Drosophila melanogaster: one gene and its partners. The protein of the gene in region 4 interacts with the protein of the main gene of each other region in a pairwise test. Each region holds a gene or a part of one and is shown on either strand. Other genes may lie near its edges.

Region 1 (5,955 bases), on a different chromosome or scaffold from region 4:
CCTCCTGCGGTCCCTACCAGCCCTTGGTCACATGGGATCCGAATGCCAAGCAATCGGATCGGATCGAAATTGGTCCCGATAACCACGACACCATCACCATGGCCGCCATCGATGAGGAGGGTCACATCCATGTGGGCACCTCCACCAACGGACTACGCTACACGCTGCCCGGACGTGTTGGCGACGCCTCGATTCCCGGCTCCGCTGCCTATGCGGATAACGAAGTGGGCGCCGCTGTTACCACTGGAGATGGAGACATCCTTATGCGCTTCCTGCCCTCTCTCCTGGCGGTGGAGGCCATGCGGGCGGGCAAAACACCGGCGGAGGCAGTCGAGTTGGTCATCCAGCGAATCCAGAAGCACGTAAAGTATTTCGAAGTCGCCGTTATCGTTGCAAACCGGCTTGGAACGTACGCAGTCAGGTGCCATGGTACTGGCATGGCCAGGGATAATGGAAAGTTTGCCTATATGGTCAGTAGTCCGGGACAACCGGTGCGCACGGAATCGGTTGAGTGCTCAGCGAATCCTGAGAAATCTCCTTCCGAAGACGATAGACAAGTTATTTGGTAATGTTTACTAATTTTGTTAGACTATAAATCTTATAATTGTTATGCACTTAGCCATTTTAAAATGTATCTGAAACCAGGAGTAGAAGAATTACGATTAGCTCCTGCATAAAAGAAAATGTGCCTCAGATTAGACCTATCGGTAGATTAAAAGGCTGAATAAAAGCATGTTCATTTTTTGCAAATGGCACGCAAACATTATCTATCATATCATATCTGAATATAGAAAATAATAAAAGTTATTATGCTTGTATTTGTTGATAACTCAGTTCGGTTTCTTTAAAAGGCTCCTGCAGTCATGTAGAATGAACCATAGTTTATCAAGCCGGGAAACCAAACATCGCTGCTCAGTCCAACATGATTCTTAGTCAAAATGATGGCATAACCGTACGAGTTATGAAGGAGGACGACTATCCAAGAGTGAAAACCTTCATGACGGACTACTTTCACTACGACGAGCCCATGGGAATGGGTCTCGAGGAGCCCATTCACCTGCAGCATGAGGAGGAAGTGGATAGGCAATACCTGGCGGTGATCAGGCAGGGACTATCCATAGTGGCACTCGACGATAACAACGGGGGACTACTGGTTGGCATTGCCGTGGCGGAGACGATGGATCCCATCGAAATGGCCAAGCAGCACAAGGAAGCCGAGGAAATGGAGCCAAATGCTTTGGGTCGCAGCAGGAAATTTATAGCCAAAGTGGAGCGCGAAGCCAACATTTTCGAACGCTTCGGAGTCTCCTCCTACCTGAGTCTGCTGGTCATCTCCGTTCACCCCTCAATGAGGCAAAGAGGTATCTTGGTCATACTTTCCAAATGTCTCTTTAAATTGGGTCGCCTGCGGGGACTCCGTCTGTTCATCGGCAGTGGCACCAATCACTACTCCTCCCGATCGGCGATGAAAGCGGGATGTGAGTGCATCCATTCGGTGGCCTATGCTGACTACAAGGACGAACAGGGCCGACCGATATATAATCCACCAGCGCCCCATACCCACATTCGGGTCTTGGCCTCAAAACTTTAATAAATTAGTACGAATTCGCAAAACTAAGTAACAAATAGGGGTGTTTTCTTATATCGCAAGAACCTTTGGACTTGACAATTGATAGAGACCGCCCAGGTGAAAATTCATGTCCAGATGGAGCTAATAAAGTAATAAAATTTAAGGGCTCTACTTTATTGTGCACAGATTGTGTTGATTATGAATTTATCAAGTACGAAGTAAGCACTTTTCACTGCTATGTAAACCACTTGATGATTGCAAACGGCATAAGCCTCTTGTGGGCTCACAATTGTACTTTTTCTTTAAAGTCGTCAAATTTATGTTTCTCGTTTCGAAAGTGCGTTGTATTTTATTTCTGTAGTGTATTGTTTTGTGGTACATATAGAAATTTTGTTTGATTTGTGTTTCCCTTAAATGATATGCTCACTAATGTGATCAATTTTAGAAAGTACATATGTATTATATTCGCTAAGTTATATGTATTAAATAAAGCAATTAGAAAATGTCGAATCCAAAATTGAATTATCTTAATTTAAAACTAACTGAAATAACCGGTTGGTGCTGCCAGACCTTTAAAGTGTCCGGTGGTATATTTTCTCAATGACAACAACGGTCACACTGCATTCTGCTCTTCAAAAAATATTTACTAGATAAAACACTTGGAATTCGGCGGATTTGAGTGTAGTTTTTCGACTCACGCATCTAATGCGGCACAGTAATGACATAAGGATCAAGTGCAATATATTGAGTGTGCCATTTGTTATCCAGTAGCGCCCCTATTACAGCAGGATGCAGGATGCCACGGCTCCGGATCCGGAACCCAGCAGCACCAACGGCAATTGCTCCGTTGAACATGACAATCGGCAGGATCAGGATGAGAACCACGTAGGCGCCGAGCGGGAAGCGGAGGCCAACGATGCCAACTGCACCGTTTGTGGTGCCGCCAAGGCATCGGCGCTTTTGGATCTGCGCTCCAACCATGTAATGCAACGTCGCCTAAGTCGCGACTGGAAGATTCATGTGGGTACTCAAGACATCATCCAATTCCGACATCCATGCCAACTCTTTGAATTCGAATTCTTTAATTATCAGGCAGATGTAATCCGATCCACATTGAAGGCCATTTGCGTGGAGTGCGTGTGCAAGCTGAACATGCACTCGGAGGTCACTCGATCCCTGATGCAGCGCATGCAACGGCTGCAGCGTTCCGGTGGTGAAACCACCAAGGTGACAACCACCACGACATCGCCCAGCCAGCACAGTCCACCCATTGCTGATGCAGAGGTGTCGACCACCTTGATTGAGAGTCAGGAGGAGGTGGCCCACAGCGGGCAGAGCGTTCGCTCGCGTTCTTCCTGCTCCGTGCTGGAAGTATACCTCGCTCAACAACCATATTCTCCATCGGCCAAGGAAACGGAAGAGAAGCATGCGGAGGGCTGGAAATGGCGAACACGGCTGGAGTGTCACGAATGTGGTCGGGCCTATTTTCGACGGGATTACTACGCCCAGCACTTGAGGCGCTGCTCCAAAACGCGCAGGAAGCAGCCACGTCCATCGCGCGTCAAATGCCGGGTACTAAATGAGGCGAGCTATGATGAAGAGGCGCCATCCAGAGCCATCCGATCATCGCGCATATACTACTGCCGGCATTGCGACGCAGAGTTTGAGACCTTAATCAGTAAGCGACAGCATGAGCGAATGAAGCATCAGCAGCGATATCCGTGTGATTTGTGCGAAGCCCAGTTGGACACGAAGTACGAGTGGGAAATGCATCACACCATCTGCCAGGCCAAGCAGGAGGTTAGTATGCATGTATCCCCCAAAAATGATATACTTATATGTTCCGTTTTTTCTGTACAGGCCTTAGCAATTGTGGAGCAGCAGGAAGCTGGCCAAACCGTTATGACTTCCCGGGTGCCAAGGGCATGCTCGATGCGCTCTCGCTCACGGGCATGCTCCGAAGCCTGGGATAGGTACGACATGGATGAGGAGGAAGAGGACGAAGAAGATGAAGAGATAGAAAGCGGTGGGGAGGAACTAGAAGAGGGCGAGGAGGATGCCATGTACGCGCGACGTATGAACTTTACTGGCGACTGGATTGTTAACCACAGCCGCAGCAATAGCAACAGCGCTGGTAATCTCTCCCTTTTGTACGGAGACTACGGAATGGTGGAAACGCACATGACCACCGACAAGGAGTATGGTAAATATCCTTTGAAATATGTTATCGTTCTGTATCAAAAAGTCTTGCTATCCGTTTTCAGATCTTTACCTACTGGACCTGCTCAAGACGCAGGTGCGACTGAAATCATTCACTTGTTTCACGCCTGACTGTGGCTACCAGACGGACACCCTAGTGGCTCTAATGAAGCACGACTACATGGAGCACTGGAAGATGAGCTGGTTTTACTGTCATAAGTGCGGCGATGTGTTCACCAGCAAGTAAGTGGGGCAGCGATCTTTTTAAAGAAAGTAGTTTATTGGTTTATTTGTGTTCCTTGCAGGGTCTTTTTAGACTACCATATGCATCTCCAGAACCGCGGCCTCTACATCTGCCATAAGTGCCGCGAAGAGTTTGAGTTGCAGCACCAGTTAGATCGGCATTTCCAGCTGCACAGGAAAGGGATCAATTACCACTGCAATTTCTGCCGATTGGAGTTTCTTAGCGAGGCTAAGCTGCTGGCCCATTGCAAAAAGCTGGGGCACAGTCCCAACGACGAGCCCCTCATCAGCATTGATCGTTCGCTCTCGATTGTCAACTGCCATGTGCCACGGTCATCGGACTATTCTCGAATAGTCAAGTCGTACGAAGAACGTGAGTTCTATATTCCGCGAATACCGATGCCCTCCACGCAGCCCATGCACTTGCCTCAACATAAACCCTTTCGTTTCGCTATCGGAATATGTGATTTCGAGGAGCGAAATCCGAACTGCGTTGGATGTCACTGATTACGAACTTGTTGTGAGCTCCATTCTTCGTCTGCAATATATTCGAATAGGTCATGCTACACGTTACTAGTAGAGTGTAAAGTGCTAATATGCACACTCTTTGGTCGAGCAACGAGGAACTCGACTATTGCGTTCTCTTTGTATAATCAACTCTAGTAAATTTAGATATGCATATTTTTTATAATAAATATTGTGCCGTTGTCAGATAAAAGAGCATTAGTTATTTGATTCTTCAGTCAGTTTATTTCGCGTTCCTTCGCTGATCTTTACATGATGAAAGTCGGGTGTCTAGGGATAATTTAAATTGCAGTACAATTCGGAATACTTAAAACTAGATTTATAATTCGCATGTGTATGTGTGGACTATGATGCTATGTACAGAGTTACTCGTATAACAATTTAACATTATCGACCGTACGACTATATAAGTTGCATAAGTGTAGGTGTTTATAATTAAAGAGCCTATTGCATTGCCCCCAGCGCATGTTTTCATGTGTGTTGTTTTTTGTTTTGTTTTGTTTTGTCTTATAAATAGTTTAGTTTTAGTGCTTACGTTTAGTTGATGGCCTTAGAACTAATCAATTTGCGGGAAACTTACAGATTTTCAACTAAGGATCTCGATTCGTATTTAAGTTTAGTTTATAATTTTATTTTATTTTATTTTAATGCGTGTGCTCTTGCTCGTGGTACGTTTGAGTCGGTGTCAGTCTTATAAATTCAACCCAGGACGATTTAAATATCTCGCTAACAGGATAACATGAGGCTAACAAAGATACGCTATTTGAGGTAGTTCTGTTCAAGTGGGATCTTCTGGTTTCTCTTCGATTCGAAAATCATAAAAGTAAGGCCACGTACATGCATGGTCGTTATAAATAATCTAGTGCTAATAATTTTTAAAACAAATCACTGGCATTTAACAAAGTTGTACAAGGTGTAGCTAACCCGCTAACCCATTCTGATGGGAGCCTCTACTGCTCTGTCCTTAGATAGCTCCTCCACCGCCTCCCGATTCCGCCTTCAGTCTTATGTAAGTGGGTTTACATATGCACACATATCTTAGTTTTGTCAGTTGGCCGGCATCTGGGATGGTGGAGTAACACTGTTTTAAGGCCTACAACTAGCTGGTTTCCAAAGATGGCCTACGAGTGCCTAGCCTAAGGGTACCTATCTGTATTCTATGCTGTCCTATCCTACTATCTATATCCTAACATTTCTGTTTTTTTTAGGCACAAAGTGATGCTGACAACAATTTAGTTTAGTGTGTGGGTTTGATTTTCGATGGGTGCCAGGTGCTGGTGCGGATGATTCCCACAACGACTGGGATGAGGTTTCTTCGTTTAAAGCTTCACCAACGCTGGTCGGCGCCTGAGTCGCCGATGGTAAGTAAGGAAAGTAACACAAGGATGGATCTAATTGGGTTTGAATAATAGGAGTTG
Region 2 (6,043 bases), on a different chromosome or scaffold from region 4:
TAGTTTTATAGGTTTTGACTTTTATAAAGATGGACCGACGGACAAGGGGACTGACTGGCATGTATCGGTCGTCTACGTTAGTGGCACGGGTTAAAAAACTTTATCCAAGACATTGTTTTAATTGGAAGAGTATATAAACCTTAGTTTGCCGATATCATGTTATTCTGGTTTTATGTGCTATCGACTTGTTAAAGCCCCTTCTGTCTGTATGTATTAACTTTCGGCTCCCGAAAATCTCCGGAAATAACTATATGTATTATTCCGGGAAAGAGTATACCAACAAAGTAAGTAGTATAAATAAATAGTACATAACATAATATATACAGCAGTAGCATTTCCAGTACCTAGCAGCCAAAAACAACCAAAAGAAACGGCGGAAAAGCTGTCTCGGTTGGCTTGCAGACCGTGAAAAGCCACGAGCCACGATTGAAATACCGAATTTCATACCAAAACATATGAATACCGATTGTTTATATCAAAAGCTACCAGGCGAATTCTACAAAAATATTTATATACTTACATATACACACATACACACATATGAACACAAATAGTTACCCACCGTTTAGCATGCGGAATAACCAAAGAAAAGCCTTCTAAATGAAAAGCTACTAAAAAAAATTTTCGAATATTTTTTTAGAGCTTATATTGGTCAGAATTCTTCATATAAATACATACATATATAATAACATAATAATAATATTTAAGATCATTGAACTTTTGCTAGTGACTTAACACCAGTTTTGGTACTAATGCACGAATTAACCACGTAAGGAGTATATATAAGCAGAAAGGAAAATTAACAGAGGCGCGATCGAAGGGTAGGTTTTTTCCGGTTCGGTCTAACAGGTGTTTCACAAATAAAGCGCGGGCAACCGTCCAAGACATTTCCTTCGATCGCAAAAGAATTCAAGGGATGACGGTAAATGAACACCTGAATATTCTGTTGTGTACACTACATAATTCTGTAACATATTATTATACCCGTTACTCGTAGAATAAAAGATAGATTCGTTGATAAGTATGTAACAGTTAGAAGAAAGCGTTTTCGACCATGTAAAGTATATATATCTTGATCAGGATCAATAGCCGAGTCGATCTGACCCTGTCCGCTTGTTGCTTCCAGAGACAAAGACGCACGGCAACGTCACTCTTTGATTTTTCAATATATTTAACAATATTTTGACATAAATGATAAAAGTTAAATCTTATTCTGATGTCTTTTCAGTCCCCTTTAAAGAGGACAAGTGGCTAGTAATATTGACTAAGTATGTTTATAAACTAATAGATTTCATAAATGAAAAAAAACTTTGTATTTGTATTTGTTTTTTTTATACGATAGTAACACCAGTCAGCTCTAAATTTTGAAACGGTTGAGTAATCTCTCTTCTCCCTTTCGTGTAGTTTGCAACGGTAGTCGAAGATTGCTTGGCACGCGCCGTCTTCTCTTTAATAGTTTGAGTACCAGCAGCCTGCTTTAGATCGTCGTTCAGGGATGCCAATTTAACTTTTTCTTGGTTTCACTACTCTGACGAAAATGTGGATTATTTTTGTATGCATGGAAGCATAGAAACAATATATGTATGTGTATATCATAAGGTAGTGCCGACTGTACTCCTAGTACACCTATGTATATTAAACGATTTATTTACAAACGTATATTACACATTTTCAAATATGTATGTATAAATATTTGTTCGCTTGTCAACCTGTAGAATGCAGGTCACTCAATGTAACAATACGCGATCCAGACGGTTAAAAGGGGGTTGATTACTTATGTATATAAACTGACTTAGCTTCCGTTCAACAAAATGTAGTTACTTCAAATTTAATACATAGTCTTGCGTTCACTTTTCGAGAGCCTGTTGTTAAATGCCAAAAGATAACACCTTTATATGTATCTAATAATAGGAATATTAAACCGGAACCAATAAATATAGGCCTTTAGTGGAAAACAATTAGACAAATATGGGTCAGCTGGACCTTAGGAAACTTTAAGCAGTCAGGACTGTAGGGTTATGAGATTGAGGTTTGACAGATATAAAAAAGAACGATCATAATCAGGGATATACCAAACGCTTCGAAGCGCTTTCTTCTTCCTTACAACGAATTTAGAATACCCATTTCCTATACGAGTAACGGGTATAAGCACTCCAACACTCTGATCATTAAGACCAAACAGGGGAAAACAAGAATACCATCTCATCCCTTCTCATTCAGTGACTTTAACTAATTTGTTCTCTTTCCTTTTCTCTATCACTCGTTCTGTTTGAAGCGGCGATCGTATTTCAAACCCAGCTTTTGCATCCGAACAACACGCTATGTCTCCCGATTAGTCGACCGCCAGTTGAGTGCGAATGTAGCCGACCAACCGTAAAGCCGCCTTGGGCCAAGTTTTGAGAGCGACTCAAACATATAAGCCATCATAAACACACTCAAAAAAGTGGTCGGCTGAGTTTGAGCGATGTAAACTGCTTCCGTCGTCCATTGCCATTCAACAATTTAGTTTCGCTCGAGATCTCTTGGCGTACGCTTCAAGATCCACCTGGAAATCGTGTTGCTTCGTGGATTTTTAGCCAACAGGTGGTTCGCGCTGTCTTTTTTACCTTTCAAGGCTTAGATTCCTTGACTCAGTGATGTTGTTAGTGTATAAATTCGTATTTGAACGTTTTCACTACCTTAACTGAGTGACGCTAAATAACTAATAATTTATTGAAATTCTTTAAAACAATTATATGTTAACCAATCTTTATAAAACGAAAATATTCAGTGAGTAAACTAATGCATAGTTTTAAATATATTAAGGTAAAAATAATTCCTTAATCATCCAAGTTATATAACATTAAACACTTAAGGCGCTTGAGCTCGGCTTTAAATATACTCCGAATTTGAACAGCTTATATTTACCCACGCTCCTGACCTTGGAATACTTGTTTTCTTTGTTTTCCTCGACTGTCTTAACTAAAAATTCTGGCTCCCCATAGCTATTATTCGGCTGGAGTGTGTGAAAATACAATTATTTTTCCCACTTTTAATTTTGTTGAATTGAATGAAGTATGGGTTTTATTCTGCCTGAATACCAGTTGGTAATGAAAATAACAAATTGTAGAAGCTCCAATGACCTCGTAACAGGACCGCTGTGCCCGACCGTGACTTTTAACTATATACTTCCAAATTCATTTAAAATTAATTTATAAAAAAAATTTAAAATTAATTAATTTTTTATTTATTATTATTATTATCAACAAGAAAATGTGTATATCGAATTCGAGCCCTTTATTCGAATTCGAACACAACAACAAAACTACAAAACTTGTACTACTAAACTTGTACTAACTAACTACTACCTGTTACTAATAGAGTAAAAGGGTACACCAGATTCGTTGAAAAGTTGAAAGGTAGATGGAAGTGTTTCCGACCATATAAAGTATATATATTCTTGATCAGAATCAATAGCCGAATCGATCTGACCTTGTCCGTATGTCCGTGTGTCCGTCTGACAGTCTGTCCGTCCGTATGAACGTCGAGATCTCAGGAACTACAAAAGCTAGAAGGTTGAGATTAAGCATACAGATTCTAGAGACATACACGCAGCACAAGGTATTGCCACGCCAACTGTTACGCCCAAAACTGCCACGCCATTGAAATATATTTTGAAATTTGTTCATATTTGTTTCCTAAATTTCTATCGATTTGCCATGCCCACTCTTACGCGTACAAACCGTTTAGAACTGCCACGCCCACATATTTGCAAAATGATATTTTTTCATATTTTCTTTAGTTTTTGTAAATTTATATCTACATTTTCTTTTTGCAACGCCCGCTGTTACGCCTACAAGCCGCCCAAGACTGCTACGACCACATTTTTGACCAAATTTTAAATTTTTTCTCATTTTTATCATTAAAAAAATAAGAAATGCGTTAGCTGAGTAACGGGTATCTGATAGTCGCGGAAGTCGACTGTAGGATTCTCTCTTGTTTTTTAAATTAATTTTCCTCGTGAATTATAAAAGCGGTGCAAGCTTGTTTCATACCTGTGCCACGCAGGCACTATATGTATTTTGATTTTTTATTGATTTTATTTTTTTGTCATTCTAATTTTTATCGACGAACCCCAAAATGTTCTCATAAAAAAATGGCTCCAATGTTATTAAACATTGCTGCTACTAGCTGATTAATAGGTATCTGATAGTCGGGGAACTCGACTTTAGCGCTCTTTCATTTTAGGCTATTTAGGAAACAATAAATGTAGAAAGAAAGCAGATGGCCTAAACGAACACATTTATTCCCATACCCATACACGTAGCTGACTCGATCATTTAGCTATATTGACCCTTAGGGGAGTGTCAGTCCCAAAAAGGTCAATTAACAACAGGTGAATAAGTGCTAGCAACCACGTTTGCGCGGGTTAAGGCTTCATTCGGCGGGAAGAAAGTGCACCTTGCCCTGGATAACAAGAGCGGATAGTGAAATAGTGAAATATATGTGTGCCATTGAAAGGTACGAATCACAAGAAAGATTGCTATAGTCAAGTTGGCCGACTATTAGATACCCGTTACGCAGCTAGTGGAAATGCCAAAGAGAAAATTTCATAAATTTTGGCTAAGCGATAAATATTGTGGAATAAAATTACTAAAAATTAAAAAAATGCTTATAAGTCTAAGCTCTTTGTTATAATAAAATTAATAAAATTATGAAAAAATATCCAAAAATTCTTCAAAAATGTAATCGAGGCAATTTTGTTTGTGGGCGTGGCAACAGGGGGGTATGTCTCTAGAATCTGTATGCTGAATCTCAACCTTCTAGCTTTTATAGTTCCTGAGATCTCGACGTTCATAGGGACAGACTGGCAAGGCCAGATCGGCTCGGCTATTGATCCTGATCAAGAATATATACACTATATATAGTCGGAGACGCTTCCTTCTGTCTGTTACACACTTTTCACAAAATCTTGTATACCCTTTCACTCTACGAGTAACGGGTATAAAAATATCATAATTTGGTCTGTTACTCGTAGAGTAAAATTAGTTGAAAAGTATGTAACAGGCAGAACGGATCGTTTCCTACCGTATGAAATACATACATTCTTGATCAGGATCAACAATCTGGCCATGGTCTGAACGCAGTGATCTAGGTAACTCTAATAGAAAGAAACGATTAAGATTAACAAGCAAATTTTAGAGCCACCTTCGCTGTATGATTTTTTTCCCAGCACTCACACTAGCTGAGTAACGAGTTTTTGATAGTCGAGGAAATCAACTTTAAAATTTCTAGTTATTCATAAATATGCCAAATCGGGATATACCATTTATATAAAAATACATTAATTTAGTTCATAGTTTCGCGTTTTCCATCATAAAATGCTCTTATTTGAATGTATCACTTTAAAACTTTCTTTATATATAGCTCGGTTGATTTAGTTCATTTATTAAAGCCATTACGTGTTGATTCGTTGAAAAGCAGAAGTGTTTTCGATCTTATAAAATATATATTCATAACTGTCTAGACGAGTCGATCTACAGATTCTAGTTGTAGTCATACGGCAAGATTATTTTAGATAATGAAGGCGTCCGCCACCCAACGCCTATAAACTTTCAGAAGCGTTATGACACATTAAAAAAAGAAAATTATTTTTTGTCATTTTACTAGTTGTGTTACCAAACATTTTGACTACGCCCACTCTATCACCCACAAACCGCGACGATAAGTGAAATATCTGATAGTCGAGCCATTCGACTATAGCATTTCCTGCTTGCCTTTAAAACAGTTTGAATGTCATTGCCGAATAAAATACATAACATTTGTTGTTAATTACACTTTAAGCAGAAGAATTTGATGAACTAACCAACAATTGTTTTGTGCAGACATATCCATTCCTTGCATAACTGCATAGGTCAACTGCTTTGGCTACGCTAATATCTCGTTGCTTTCATAATAAAAGAACCCACAATTTTCTGTATTCCAGGAACTTATACATTTTGTTGAATCTTTGATGCTTATAATGGATATACAGACATCGACACATCATATCCATGGGCTCGGA
Region 3 (5,973 bases), on a different chromosome or scaffold from region 4:
ACAAAAATAATATTTATGTTCCCGCCGCCGATGGTTGCGAAAAGTTACAAACAAATACGGGTTCAATGGGTTCAAATAGCATTGGAAAAGTTCCGGCGATAAGGCGCAGCTATCGCCAAGGCGAAGATTACGCCTGGATGCACCATGGCAACCACTCGAGAGGCGCTCCCCCGATTCCCTATTCCCGATCCACGATTAGATTGGCCAAATACCAGGGAAACCAAGTGACTTGGGTGCAATAACACGCCCATGATCGAAAATGCGACCCCCCATGGATGGGAGAGCGCGTCTATTTGCGATCCGCTTATCGTCAAGTGATTATCATCCGTCTGGGTCACCAGTTCAAGTCGCCGGACGACGATAAGGACACTGCCCCCCCTTTGCAGCTGACGCACTTCGGAAAGATCGGGAAACGTACGTATATAGTCGAAATGGAGAATATTGGCAGAAAATGGACAAGTTTATATGTATGTAGCTTCCTCCAGCAAATTACGTATCTCTAGTACCATTTTGTTGTTCAACGTTTCCAGCTGCTAACTAATAATCCCTGGAAGATTCTTCTATTTTCAACGCAGAAATGAATTGGACACGCAAAATTTTAGCTGCAAAAACTGGAAACTGGTGATTCCCACTAAATTGAATGCTAATTTCTGGCCACAAGTTGAGTGCAAAATGCATATACATATGTATGTATGTATATTTATATACAAATCTGCCCACACGAATGGGAAATTCGATTTAATGGCCAATGCCAGATTCTTTTTTTTTTTTGCGTTATCAGTTTAAATATTTAGACAAGTGCAAACGAGAATGACAACAACAATGCTCGATAGGGCGCAAACAGCCGAGAAATTCGAGTAGGCCCAAAAACGAGTTTCAGGCCGAGGTAGCGAATGTGAATCAAAAAGATTCAAACTTGGCGCATGGCGACGTTTTGAATACACTAACAGTACACTGATACAAATACGGTACATATATGTACATATGCTATAAGATCTCAATTAAACTACACATGTACATAGGTACTTAACAATGATACTACTATAAACAACACTTTCAGCGGATCGATGGCATGCCATCCACGTAGGGATAGTGCAGTGTGGGAACACATGGCTGAATGAAACGCATGAAGCACATGGCGATTAGCCGGGCATGCCAGGAGCCGCAAATGGAAGCGAAACACAAACTTTCTGAGCACCGCGATCACTGCAAGAATTAAAGGCAATCGAAATGCGAGTCCCCCAAATGGTTCAATTAGCCACACTTTTTCCACCCTCCCCTTCACTTTGCCTGGGACTTTCCCGGCGAACTCACCTTCAAAGTGCTCTGCTTGGAGTCCGAATATCGTCTGATCGCCGGTAAGAATGGCGTTGGTGATGGTTGTTTTTTGGCGGCGATGCGAGTTAAAGCTCCGCTAAGCTTTCCAGTCTCGAAGTTAACCGGGTTGCCAACTTTGGTGTTCAGGTCCCGACTAAGGCAAAACCGAAGCTTTTGTGTCAGTGTAGAGCGCGCCCGCTGCATGTCTTTGTAACTGTAATAAGCAGAATTTTATAGATTTTAGTGGATGTTTTTCAACAATCCTTGGTAATTATTAGTACTCACACGGCTGCGTTCGAATCGGAACTGCCGCAAAGTGAGAAGAGTCGCCGGCGCTGAGATGACGCCGCCGCTGGCTGATAAGCGATAACGATAACCCGTGACCCCTGACCGACCCAGTGATAAGTCCGCCCAAGAGTTCCGACCCGATCGCTGCGCTATCTCTTGGCCAGCATCCAAAATATTCGACACCGAAAATACAACGAAGCGAAAACACGCGTTACGTTGGTAAACAACATTTACCAGGCTAACAGATATCAGCTGTTTGGGTAGTTGGATCGCTGGATTTAGAAGCTTTTGGCGCCGTCTGGCAACGCTAGCGATAGCTACCAATTCTTGTATAAATATTTACAATTTGTGGAAATGTTAAGCGTGTGTGCCTCTTCAATTAATATTAACACTTTATTTTATATCATAATATGCGTTTCTCTCAATCCCTTAAAATGTACGTAGTTATCAAACGCGCGATAACGTTAAGGCATTTAAAGTACCCGCCAAATTGCTGGTACTGCGAACCGGTTTAAGTTGCCAACCGATTGGGAGAGTGCAACATCTCTCTCCAGCAACATTGCTGCCAGCCAAAGTCTATATAAGCAACAACGAAAGTTCAATTCTTTTCACTCAAAAATCCGTCTCCTCCGCGGTACGTTTCACTTCGCTGCGCCGCTAAAAGAAAATTCCTGGAAAATATTAACAAACACATGAGCCTAACATTCTTAACAATTCCAAAACAGAACATTTATTTTTGGTGAATTTCCTGACAATTTAGTGGTTAGTGTTTAATGTTAAAACATTGCTGTGCGCATTTACCGTTATCCGCTCGCAAGGCAAAAGAAAAAGCGCGCGTTTTGAATTCGCTGTTTCGCATTATTTTTTTTTATGTTAAAAAACAAAATATAGAAATGAAACAAAAATGGCAAGCCAGAAATTAAATGAATGAATGAATTTTTTTCGACACAATTCTGCTGCGTGTGCAATTCGATTCGAATAACAAAACAAAAAGCATAAAGGAAAAGTAAAAGAAATTCGAGGGGGGAAAAAAACGCCAAAAGAAAAGATAGCGCGAAAAGTCATAAAGAAAAGGTGAGAAAACAAATTATTTATTTCATGTGCTAAAAAGACACGCAAAACGAACGTCGTTTTATTTTTAGCCAAACAAAAGTTGTGTGTTATTTGTGCGATTTTCTGTTTTTGTTCGCCGCTCTCCCCTTGTTTTTTATCGTTTTTGTTTTTCAATCATATATTTTGTGCTTCTTTTTTTTTTTGCATGTTTTGTTTTGTGCGTGCTCTTTTTTGTTGAATGCAAAAAGGCGAACAAAATATTACGATAAAAATTCCGTTGTTCTCGCCGAAGGTTTCCGGGTTTGTTGACTTTGCCAGCTGAATATTCGAAATTGACATAAATAATAATCGCATGCAATTATTGTAAACAATTGTTTTTCGCTCAGGAAACGATTGGCGCTTTTTCTTCGCTTATTGTAATTGTTGCTGCCAACTAATCGCCAAGATAAAAATGAAAAAAGAGGGGAAAAAACCTACAGAGTTGCAAAAAATTAATTAAATTCATAGGCCAGTAATTTACATTTTTTGTGTGATTTTTTCGCTTTTTTTGTAGTTTTTGTCTAAGCTTGATAATTAGGGTTTTTTGCGGGCTGTTGTTTATCTGCTACAGTTGTACCCAAAATAATAGTCGATGCTTAAAAATGTTTACAAAAAATGTAAATTTTTGTGGCGCTTCAAATAGCTTTACTACGATTTCGAACACAATTGTATATCTTAAGTTTTGGGGCTATTTTTTGTGCTGGTTTTAAATTTTGGTTTATCGGTTTTTGTTATTTCTGTGGCTTTTAGTTTTCTTCTTCACCTGTTTAGCCTTATTTTTTGTTGTCGATTTCGGCTTATTTGTTTTTAGTTTTTTGTTGCACTATTTGAATGCGAGTTTTTTTGTTGTTGAGAGAGGCATTTCCGCCTTTATGGCAAAAGCAATTTACAATTTGCAATTTACTTTTCTCTCGTTTTTTTGCTGTATGGCAATTCATTTTTACAACTTTAATTATATGAACAAAAACTGCAAAACATGAACGGCAAAAATTAAAATTGCAAATCGCATTTGAGTGACGTCGCCGTCAACGTTTCTCCTTCCTTTTGTTTTTGTCGGCTGTTTTATTCGGTTTTTTGTTTTCACAGCGGCATTCGCCTGCGCAAAAAAAAATAAAACAGCGAATCAGTGTGTGGAAGATTGTGTGGAGGGGGGGCAGAGAGCGAGAGAGAGAGAGAGGAAGAGAGCGTATCAGGAGCGAATCTGGAAATTTTTGAACCAAGCTACCGATTTGCAAGAAGAACATGAAGTTAACAAAATATATAGGTTATTGAGCAACAAAATTACGTAAAACATTTAAGATATTTAATGGCACTTAACTCGAATATTTACCCCCTGATCCGGCCCTGGCTTCTGTGCGCTAGTGTTGGTGTGCGTGAGTGCTCTCTCTCTCGTTCGCTGCTCTCTGCTCCCCATCTTCATCGACCCCCCACCACCCGCCTTCGCCCCACTCACACACATTTCAATTACATGTGAAACGCGTGCTCCAAATTTCAAGTTCATTGTCCAAAAACAAATCAGAACAAAAGCGATAACAAACAAGCAAGCCAAAGGCAAAAAAACAAGGGCAGGTCAGCATCCGACGTGCCACGCCCCCAAATTTGGAATATATACATACATATATGCATATATGTTCATATACATACCTATGGACATAATTAATTAATTTATAAATGTGGGAGAAACGCTTAAATAAAGCCTAAAATTAGTCTAAAACTACAACGATTGATATTCCAACAAAACCAAATTCGAAATATAAAACATTTTCAAATCGATTTCGAATAAATGCATATTTACCTGGGCTTCGAGATTTGAAAGCTTTGCATCTAGATTTCATTATCATAAATTATTCGTAATATATGATATATCATGTAAAAAACTTTTGGGTATTCCCACAGTCGAGTCGAAATAAAGCCGTGAAGTATTTATAACAAAATCACACTTATTTTCGTGTTATTCCGCAACCAAATAAAAATTCTTTAGAAAAACAATGCGGCAGTAGGAAATAAAGCAAAAAACGACACAAATTTTGACACGAAATATTGTTTTTCGTGTGTGATTATTTTGTTGTTGTCATTTTTTGTCATACCAGCTTTAAGTTTAGTTTACTCTATGTGTTTATTTATTTTCATTTTGGTAGTTGGCAAATAAAATTCGCTTACGTAAATTTTGGGGTTGTTTATGTTTTGCGCACTATATATGAAAAATGATAACTATAATTTGCAATGCGTAAATAATGTTTGTCAAATGCCGACAAAGTTCCTTAAATCTATTCACAGCGTTTTCAATTTCAATTTCGCCGAAAAAGGGTTTGATTTTGCAACCATTTCTTTTTCATTGAGCTCCCCACTTTTTTTTTCCCTCATTCTCTGATATCAGCTCATATTTATAATTAAAAACAAACAATAAAAAACTGCACTGCAGACGGCAAATCGGAAAAATATAACAAAAAATAAAAAGAAAAGAAGCCATAAATATACACACATATGTGTATAAATATTTATATTTATATGAATTTGCGGGGCGAGACACTAAAAATAAAAAAACAAAACTAACGCTAGGCAAATTTCGCTGATAACTTTGAGAAGTGCTGAAAATACTGGGGCTCCAAAGGGAAAAAGAGTGTAGTAATAATAATTTAAAAAAAAGGTTGAAATCAATGCAATGCGAAGAGATAAAAACTATTTGCGTCGCATAAAGCCAAGCGAAACAATGGGAAATAATAGAGAAAATTTGAGAAAAATAATCGCCCTTCGAAAGTCGAGAATTCTTTGGCTCCCAGTTTCTTTCATTCGCTTTTTGTTTCTCTGTTTGTCCAAGGTTTTCAAATCAAATTATGTCGCGATCGAAAATCACAAAAAAAGGCAACACAAATACGGCCTCTATTTTTATGCAATTAACCGCCAGAGAAAAAAAAACGAAAAAAACATTTTCAAATAGGAAAGATAAAAACAAACAAAACACACGCACACTCCAAATGGGGAACAAAAGCGAACTCTACAAAAATCACCCAAAACCAAAAAAAAAAACTACACATTTATAAATAAAATAATAACAATAAAAAGCCGAATACGAATCGAAATTATGAATCACAAAACGTTTTTTGTGGCTTGTTGGTATTTTTTGTTTTTTCTTTTTCATTGCTTGTGTTTTTTTTTTTTTGCGTTAATACATTTTAATTCAATTTTGTTTCTTTCGCCTTTTTAATTTTATCCGCTTCCGTGGCAATGTGGCATTTTATTTCTATCTAATTTGCAACAATTTTGCAGCTTAAATTG
Region 4 (6,874 bases):
ATTTAACCACAAAGGTGGACATGTTCGGCAATATTTTAGTTTCACAACTAAATGTAAACAACTGTTGCGGGGTTTTTAAAACAGCTGTTTACAACTGAGTTGTCAGATTGATTAAATGTATGTAATTTTGATAGAGTGCTTATGGCGAACGTTTAAGTGTACGTATATGTACTCTTTTCAGTAAAATTAAATAAATAAATACATCTTCAAATATTTCCGAGAGCTCAAATATTTAAGTTCTAATTAACTTTAACAGTCGATATACAACCCTTCTATTAGCATTCTAATATTTTATTTTATTAAACACGCATTTTGCAGCACTAGGCGGTCCAAATTATCGATATGACAGCGATATCGATTAACCGTGTTTAAGTTAGTACACAGCCAGTAGGAGGAACTAAACAAATTAAACGCGCTGCACCCCTATTGTTTGTCCTCTTTTTAGTGTTTTACTCGATTCGGCACCCGCAATGCTTGACAACCTCGTGGAATTCGCCAGTTACTGGTGGTTTCGATACCTCATGGTATGTAATGGTCATAAAATTACGCACATATTCCACCTGAGAAGCTGCGCTCCACGGGATTTTGATTTAAATGAACCCCATTAACTTGCAGGTCACCGAGCTGTACATGGTTGAAAAGTGGGAGCGGATAACGATACGTGAGTGTTAATTGCTGTTAATAAAATAGCACACCCTCGAACTAGTTGGGAATATCCGACGGATTCGTCATGCTTCTGGAGAATTTATACGCTTATCAGGGTTATTATTGCTCTCGGTTCATTGCAGACGTCATTTTCATGGTACTCTTCTGCGTTTTCTGGTACTTCAACTACTCCGTGCTGCTCTCGCTGGCCGGATTGATTGGCCCAACAAGTGCCTCCATCGCGGATATTATTCCCGGAGTTCAAGGACATGGGCTCAAGGTCACCTAAAATACCGATCAGACCATGCCCAGACCAATCGTGTGTACTGTTCTCCGTTCCAATATCCAAAATAGCCGCGTATCTGTACCTCGCCGCGATGCTTTATCTAATCCGCACGCGTTTATACACCGCAATCAATGAATGGAACGTAGCTGTAGGCGACACATGTCCAAAGAGGCGATCTAATCGCTTGCTGATCCGAATCTGAAGTGGACAACACCCGGCGACTGTCCATCAATAGCTGCCTCACCGTTTAATGTAGTTATCTAGCAGTAGTTACAAGTTTAAAGTCAGTTAATAAATCTAACGCTTACACAATCGCACTGTGAAATAGTTAAAAAAAGAAATGATAAATGATATACGCAAGTGTTGTTGCATTGTTTTCCTGGTTTATTTTTGTTTAATTTTGAAGAGGTATTTCCCTTGTTTATTCCGACTTAACTGATGTGCTTCCATTTGTGAATTATTGTTAGCGCCAACAGACGTTGAACATGCTAAATCCGTACTTCAATGCTCTAAGTGTTATAATTCATTACAAAAATATATAGATAGCCTATGGTGTATGCGTATTGAATATGGTAAAACTAGTTTTGTGTATTTTTCTTATTTTTTTGTTTGTTTTGTTTTCGTAGAAAAGAAAGTGCGCGTTTTGTTATTCGAGCGAAGATCGCACACGATTAGTATCAGATCAAATTGGGGCTTTTTAAGGTGACAGTTTGGCTGAGTTCTTCGGGGATTACGGTTCAGTTTTGGTTTTGCGGGGGGACTCACTTAGCCTACGGTACAAGCTAAACTCTTAGAACTGCTCTTCATCCGTGAAGGAAATTAATTAATGGCTACCATCTAACTTCCTTTTGCACTGCAATCCTATTTTGTTAGAGAATGAACTTACACTACTTACTTAAAGGGCGGGCAGCGGGCGGATGTGTTCACCAGGTGACAATCTTGTCCGGCCGCTCCGCTCGTTACAGGTTACAGATACAGATAAAAACTGGCTACAACTAACTGTACAATAATGCCTTCCGGAGCCAAAGGAGCTTTAATATTTTAACCATCTCATGCCAATACCTGCCACACATTAAAGCGCACTACTAGTTAGGATGTTAGGGACGTGCCATCCAGCAGCACCGACGCCACCTCCTCGTTCTGTTCTACGTACACTAGACGAGGATCCTCGCCAAACTCCAGTCGCCCGTATCTGGCCACCAGCGGTGTCTTGTTGTTGCTCACTTGCGGTGCGCGCGGCCACTTCCTTTTGGGCTTCGTGTGCGTCAGCATGTGGGACTTGAGGTTCGTTGACTGGGCGAAGCACTTGGAGCAGCCATCAATGGGACAGTGGTAGGGCCTATCGCCAGTGTGTATCCGTACGTGGGTGCGCAGATTGAAGTCCAGCGAGAAGCGCTTGCCGCACCCCTCAAAGGTGCACTCAAAGGGCTTCTCGCCGGTGTGCACCAGCTGGTGGCGCTTTAGCTTGGAGCTCTCTACAAAGCTCTTGCCGCAGACGTTGCACACATGACCGCGCGGTCCGTGCGTGTGCATGTGCTTGCGCATGGCCGAGTGGTTGCGAAACTCCTTGTTGCAGCCGCGATGGGTGCAGCGAAACTTTGGCTCCTCATCCTCTTCGCCGGCCGCGCCAGCTGCTCCCATGGCATTACCAGCCGTCTGATTGGCCACTGCAGTCGGTAATTTGGTTACAATTGTGGGTCGTTGGGGTCGGGCTGGATTGCTGGAAGCCACTAGTGGCGGTGGGGGATTTGGTGTCGCCACCTGAGCCGCCGCCGTGAGTTGCCTCTTTGTCACCTTTGACTGATTTCCCGCACTTTTCAGTCGCACATTGGTGCTGCTGTTCTGGAGCACTAGTTTTGGGAGAGCCGGCTGTGGATTCGGTACACATCCGTTGACCTTCGATAGCGCTACCGACACAGTGGCTGGACCTGGTCCCGGTGTCTGTATCAGCTCCACATTATTCGGCATGTTCTCGATAAGCTCGATGTTACCATAAGCTTCTTCCAACTGGTTTTCCGCATAGATCAACTGTTCACTTAGCGGCTGGCTGTCCTCCTCGCCTTTGACATCGCCCATAAATGCATTAACCACCTCCTCCACATCCGTGACCGCAGAGGCGCTGAATGGATCGGGTAGGATGACGTACTCGTTGCCGATGCCATCGCTTAAAACATCGTGGTTGATCATGTGCTCGTCAATAATAAGCTTTGGCATGCTGGGTGATCCTTCATTCTGGGCGGCGGAGGAGGACGTCACGGATGTGGTGCCAGCACAACCAGGTGGTTCCTCCAACTCCTCCTCCTCGTCCTCATCCTCCGAGTTGAGCGAGGACCAAAGGGTGACATTGAACTCATCCTGCGTTATGCGTATGGGTACCTTTGTTTGCTTCCAGCGCTTGGCCGCTGAATTTCCCATGGGCCTCTCGACGCGACTGCTTCCAAATAGCTTAAAATCCTGCAGCTGGCCATTCGAACTGTTTGAATCCTCGGTCGCCTTCATATAGAAGTCGCTCTCGAGCTGCTCCTCCTTGATGTTTGTGGCCTCGATGGTGGTTAGCATCTCGGAGGCAATCTCGAAGGCATTTGTCGTAGCCGGCGCGGTAGCCTCATCATCCTCATCGCCATCGCCATCGCAGGAGGATGTCATCTGCTGTCCATCCTCCTCGATGAATTCCTCATCGTCGCTGGTCTGCTGCATGATGATCGGCGGCGGCAGTGCATCTGCCGTAGCCACCGTGACCGAGGTAAGTCTGTCCAGCCGATCCACCGGATAGTATTCATAGTGCTCAAAGAATTCGCCTGAGTCTACGACGATATTAGCCTCATCATCATAGTCGTCGATGATCTCCTCGATCAGGAAGCTCTCGCTTTCCTCGCCCATCGGATCGCCCGCCAAAACGGTGTACGGATCTTGCTCGACTATGGTAGCCGCCGTAGGCTGGTGTGCATGAGTGAAGTATGCCGACGACGGGGCGGAGTGCAGGGGCAACGGTACCGCCGCAGCGGCCAGCGATAGATTCTTCACGATGGGCGCTCGTATCTGATGCAGTTGAGGCTGGAAGTTCCCTCCGACGCCGACGTGATGATGATGACTTGTCATCGCGGCTGCTCCGTCTGCCTGTCTGTGTGCCTGTATCTGTATGCTTGTATTTGTGGGCGCTCTTGCTTCGTGCGTGAGTGTTAGTGTTGTGTGTGCGAGCGCGCTGCGGAAAAAGTGGGCAATTAGTATCTGGCCAAAAATCCGTATTATGTATATATCTCTATATATTCGCCAGACTTCCAAAGTGGACAAACGTACGTGTTTTCGTCGGTATTGCTGCACTGAACTGGCCTTTCCCTCCACCTCTTTTTCCACTTTTTTGTGGCCAATGCCTATCGTTTATTGTGCGACGGCGGCGGCAGACGGCGAATGATGCGTACCGCTCGCTCCGCTCCGCCCGCCACTCTCCTGCTGCCCAATGGCGGGTTAATTCTCGCTTTGGATGACCACCTCGATCCCGCTCACCTCGGGCAGTGTAAATATTTTGAATTTTGCCGGTTAATATGGCGGAATTGTATTTTCCAGAAACGGCTCGGTACTTTCTCTCGCGTTGCGTGTGTGGGGTGTGTGTGTGTGTAGTGTGCAGCGACAGGCGCCACAATGCAACCCTGCGCGCGCTTTGTGTATATCTTAAGCGGTTTATTCAGCGGAGATTGGTTATTCTCTTCGCATTACTTCGCAAAACAGCACAAATGTAATCTTAACTACTATTCAAAAATTGCATTTTATTAACCTCCAACTGGCAAACCATTTATTAGCTGTAAATACCGCGGCGTTCTGTCTTTCGATAAGCGATAGGTTTGTTGTTCTGCCACCAGGGTTGCCACCCGACAAGAAAACAAATGCGCAATAACAATAAATTAATCTCCATGGCTTTACTATTATTTCGAGCTATTTACAATTGTTGCTCATAAATAACTAGTTAAATTTCTTTAGCAATAGAACTTCTGGAATATAAATACGCTTCAGCTTCGACTCCACAAAGCGCTCGTGTTGGGGTGTAAATACCTCTGCATTGTGGTTAAAATCAGTCTTATTAAATTGCACCGCCTTCCTATCCGCTGTTAAGGATATATTATAATGCCGACATTGGTCCTGCAATCCTGTTGGCCCATCGAACAACAGTAAACGCAACAAGTAAGGAACCGGCACCGTAAGCTGTTTGTTGTTGTAGGCATGCGTGAAAATCTGCAACAAACTCCTGCAAATATACATACATACATATGTATTTACATTAAAAATGCATCATGTCAATAAGAGATCCAATAGAAAAAGTTATACTGTACCTCCTTATCACCTGCAACTTGGCGGCAGCTACCGCGCACAGAATATGCGGCAATTGTGGCACACCCATGAGCACTCTATACAAATTGCCCTGTTGGAAGGCCAAACAGATCCCAAAACAAAGCTTAAACGTCGCATCCCGACGCACATAGTCCGGTAAGGTGAGGGCGCGTGTAAAGGACTCGGGAGAACCCAGATTAAACAATTGATACAGGCTCTCTATGAAGCAGCGCCGCTCAAGCTCACGAACGGTGGGTTCTCTAGATGATTCCAAGTCCTCCAGTTCTTCGTAACAGCAAAGCACTCCCGTGAGGCACTCTTGCAAATGCTGATTGCATATCTTGAGATCGAACTTCTCGATGGGCTCCTCACACAAGCGATAGCGACTATATGCCAGAAACATCACAATGGGCTCTAACAGGCAAATCTTCTGACTGGCATCGTACATCTGGATCACGATCTCCCGACGCACCGCCCTCAATCGATCGAATATGAAGTCGTAAGCCACATTGTACGGCTTTCGTGTGTCCAGGATTATGCTGCACAGTATATTAATTATCAGATTTAACTTGGCTAACTAAGCGCCTAATATACTTGCTCCTTGAGCAGATATTCCACTGTTTTGGTCAATGCCGCTTCTGTGCGCATTTCCTTGGGCATGGGCATCTTGACATCGGCGGCGGAGCGTGTAAACTCCTTGACCAGGACTCCTGGCTTGTTCTTCTGGCCATTTTTTAGCTCGAAATAGTGCAAAAGCTTCTCGCGAATACGCCTGAATGTATTAAACGGTGTTATTATATTAAATTCGGGTTTAAATTTCGTTTACCTACATTTTCGCCTCCCCATCGGGACAGAAACTTTCGCAAGATCCTCGAACTTGGGCCATTTGTTGATGAATGCAGCCAATTTCAGCAGCAAACAAACCAGGGATGCAGGTCTTTTGGATCAAAGGCGTAGCTCAAATTTTTTAATGGGGTTCAGAAAATAAAATATGCTTCTTAAATCTCGTACGCCAGCTTCTAACTAATAAAATTCCGAAATTGGGACTTTATTAGGATCCATATTTATAAAAACGAACGCGCTGACTCGTTTTTTTTTTTAACCCTCTTGCCACGCCGCTGAAGTCAGCAATCAGCTGTCTGGGCGGTCTGGGTTGTCAGGTTGTCTGGGCCTTAAAATTGTACTAAATTTTCAGTTTGTTTTTCCCTGCCCAGCACAAAACGAAATGTTTTCGCGGCATTTCGCAGCCTTCTTTCGATTCAACCGATATGTTGCCCAAAAATACAGCAGTTTTATAGCCGCCGGCTTTAGCAACAGGTTTTCGCTGAAGGTTGCAACTCTGCTGCCGCTGGTAGTCCTCCGATCCGCGGATTGCAGGCAAAAAGAGGACCAGGAGGTAAAGCGACCGGTCCGTAGGCGAACCATGAGCAAGGTTAAGTACGAGACGAGTCTGGAGGGGAGGGCGCAGCTCTATCTCAACGCCATGAAGGTGAGATGGGACCAGCTGCACAAGGTGCCCGGGCTGTTTTCATATCAATTGGAGAAATCCCCTCAGAGCCGGAAAATACCAGGATACTGGGGCTTCTATGCGGAGGTGAGTGTCATATTCTTGTTCTCTAG

The links.
Region 1: the proteins of phol (region 4) and CG11906 interact in a two-hybrid assay, tested with the Drosophila melanogaster proteins (one large-scale study listed by BioGRID).
Region 2: the proteins of phol (region 4) and sv interact in a two-hybrid assay, tested with the Drosophila melanogaster proteins (one large-scale study listed by BioGRID).
Region 3: the proteins of phol (region 4) and CG3726 interact in a two-hybrid assay, tested with the Drosophila melanogaster proteins (one large-scale study listed by BioGRID).

The regions. Positions count from the first base shown.
Region 1 is NT_033778.4:19,280,187-19,286,141, reverse strand, and holds CG11906 (uncharacterized protein), read left to right. Parts: upstream 1-2,180; 5' UTR 2,181-2,359; coding exon 2,360-2,590; intron 2,591-2,662; coding exon 2,663-3,370; intron 3,371-3,430; coding exon 3,431-3,773; intron 3,774-3,834; coding exon 3,835-4,012; intron 4,013-4,074; coding exon 4,075-4,519; 3' UTR 4,520-4,724; downstream 4,725-5,955. Other genes in the region: CG10474 (uncharacterized protein), read left to right, coding at 1-569; AANATL5 (arylalkylamine N-acetyltransferase-like 5), read left to right, coding at 923-1,591.
Region 2 is NC_004353.4:1,086,294-1,092,336, forward strand, and holds the start of sv (shaven), read left to right. Parts: upstream 1-2,504; 5' UTR 2,505-2,769; intron 2,770-5,965; 5' UTR 5,966-5,992; coding exon 5,993-6,043.
Region 3 is NC_004354.4:5,914,949-5,920,921, forward strand, and holds the start of CG3726 (uncharacterized protein), read left to right. Parts: upstream 1-2,148; 5' UTR 2,149-2,679; intron 2,680-5,973. Other genes in the region: Shmt (serine hydroxymethyl transferase), read right to left, coding at 1,315-1,521.
Region 4 is NT_037436.4:9,451,510-9,458,383, forward strand, and holds phol (pleiohomeotic like), read right to left. Parts: upstream 4,773-6,874; 5' UTR 4,229-4,772; intron 4,134-4,228; 5' UTR 4,031-4,133; coding exon 2,021-4,030; 3' UTR 1,294-2,020; downstream 1-1,293. Other genes in the region: CG3448 (uncharacterized protein), read right to left, coding at 1-22; ghi (ghiberti), read left to right, coding at 471-524, 616-661, 789-934; CG3437 (uncharacterized protein), read right to left, coding at 4,889-5,171, 5,257-5,793, 5,853-6,026, 6,085-6,140; CG3552 (uncharacterized protein), read left to right, coding at 6,480-6,848.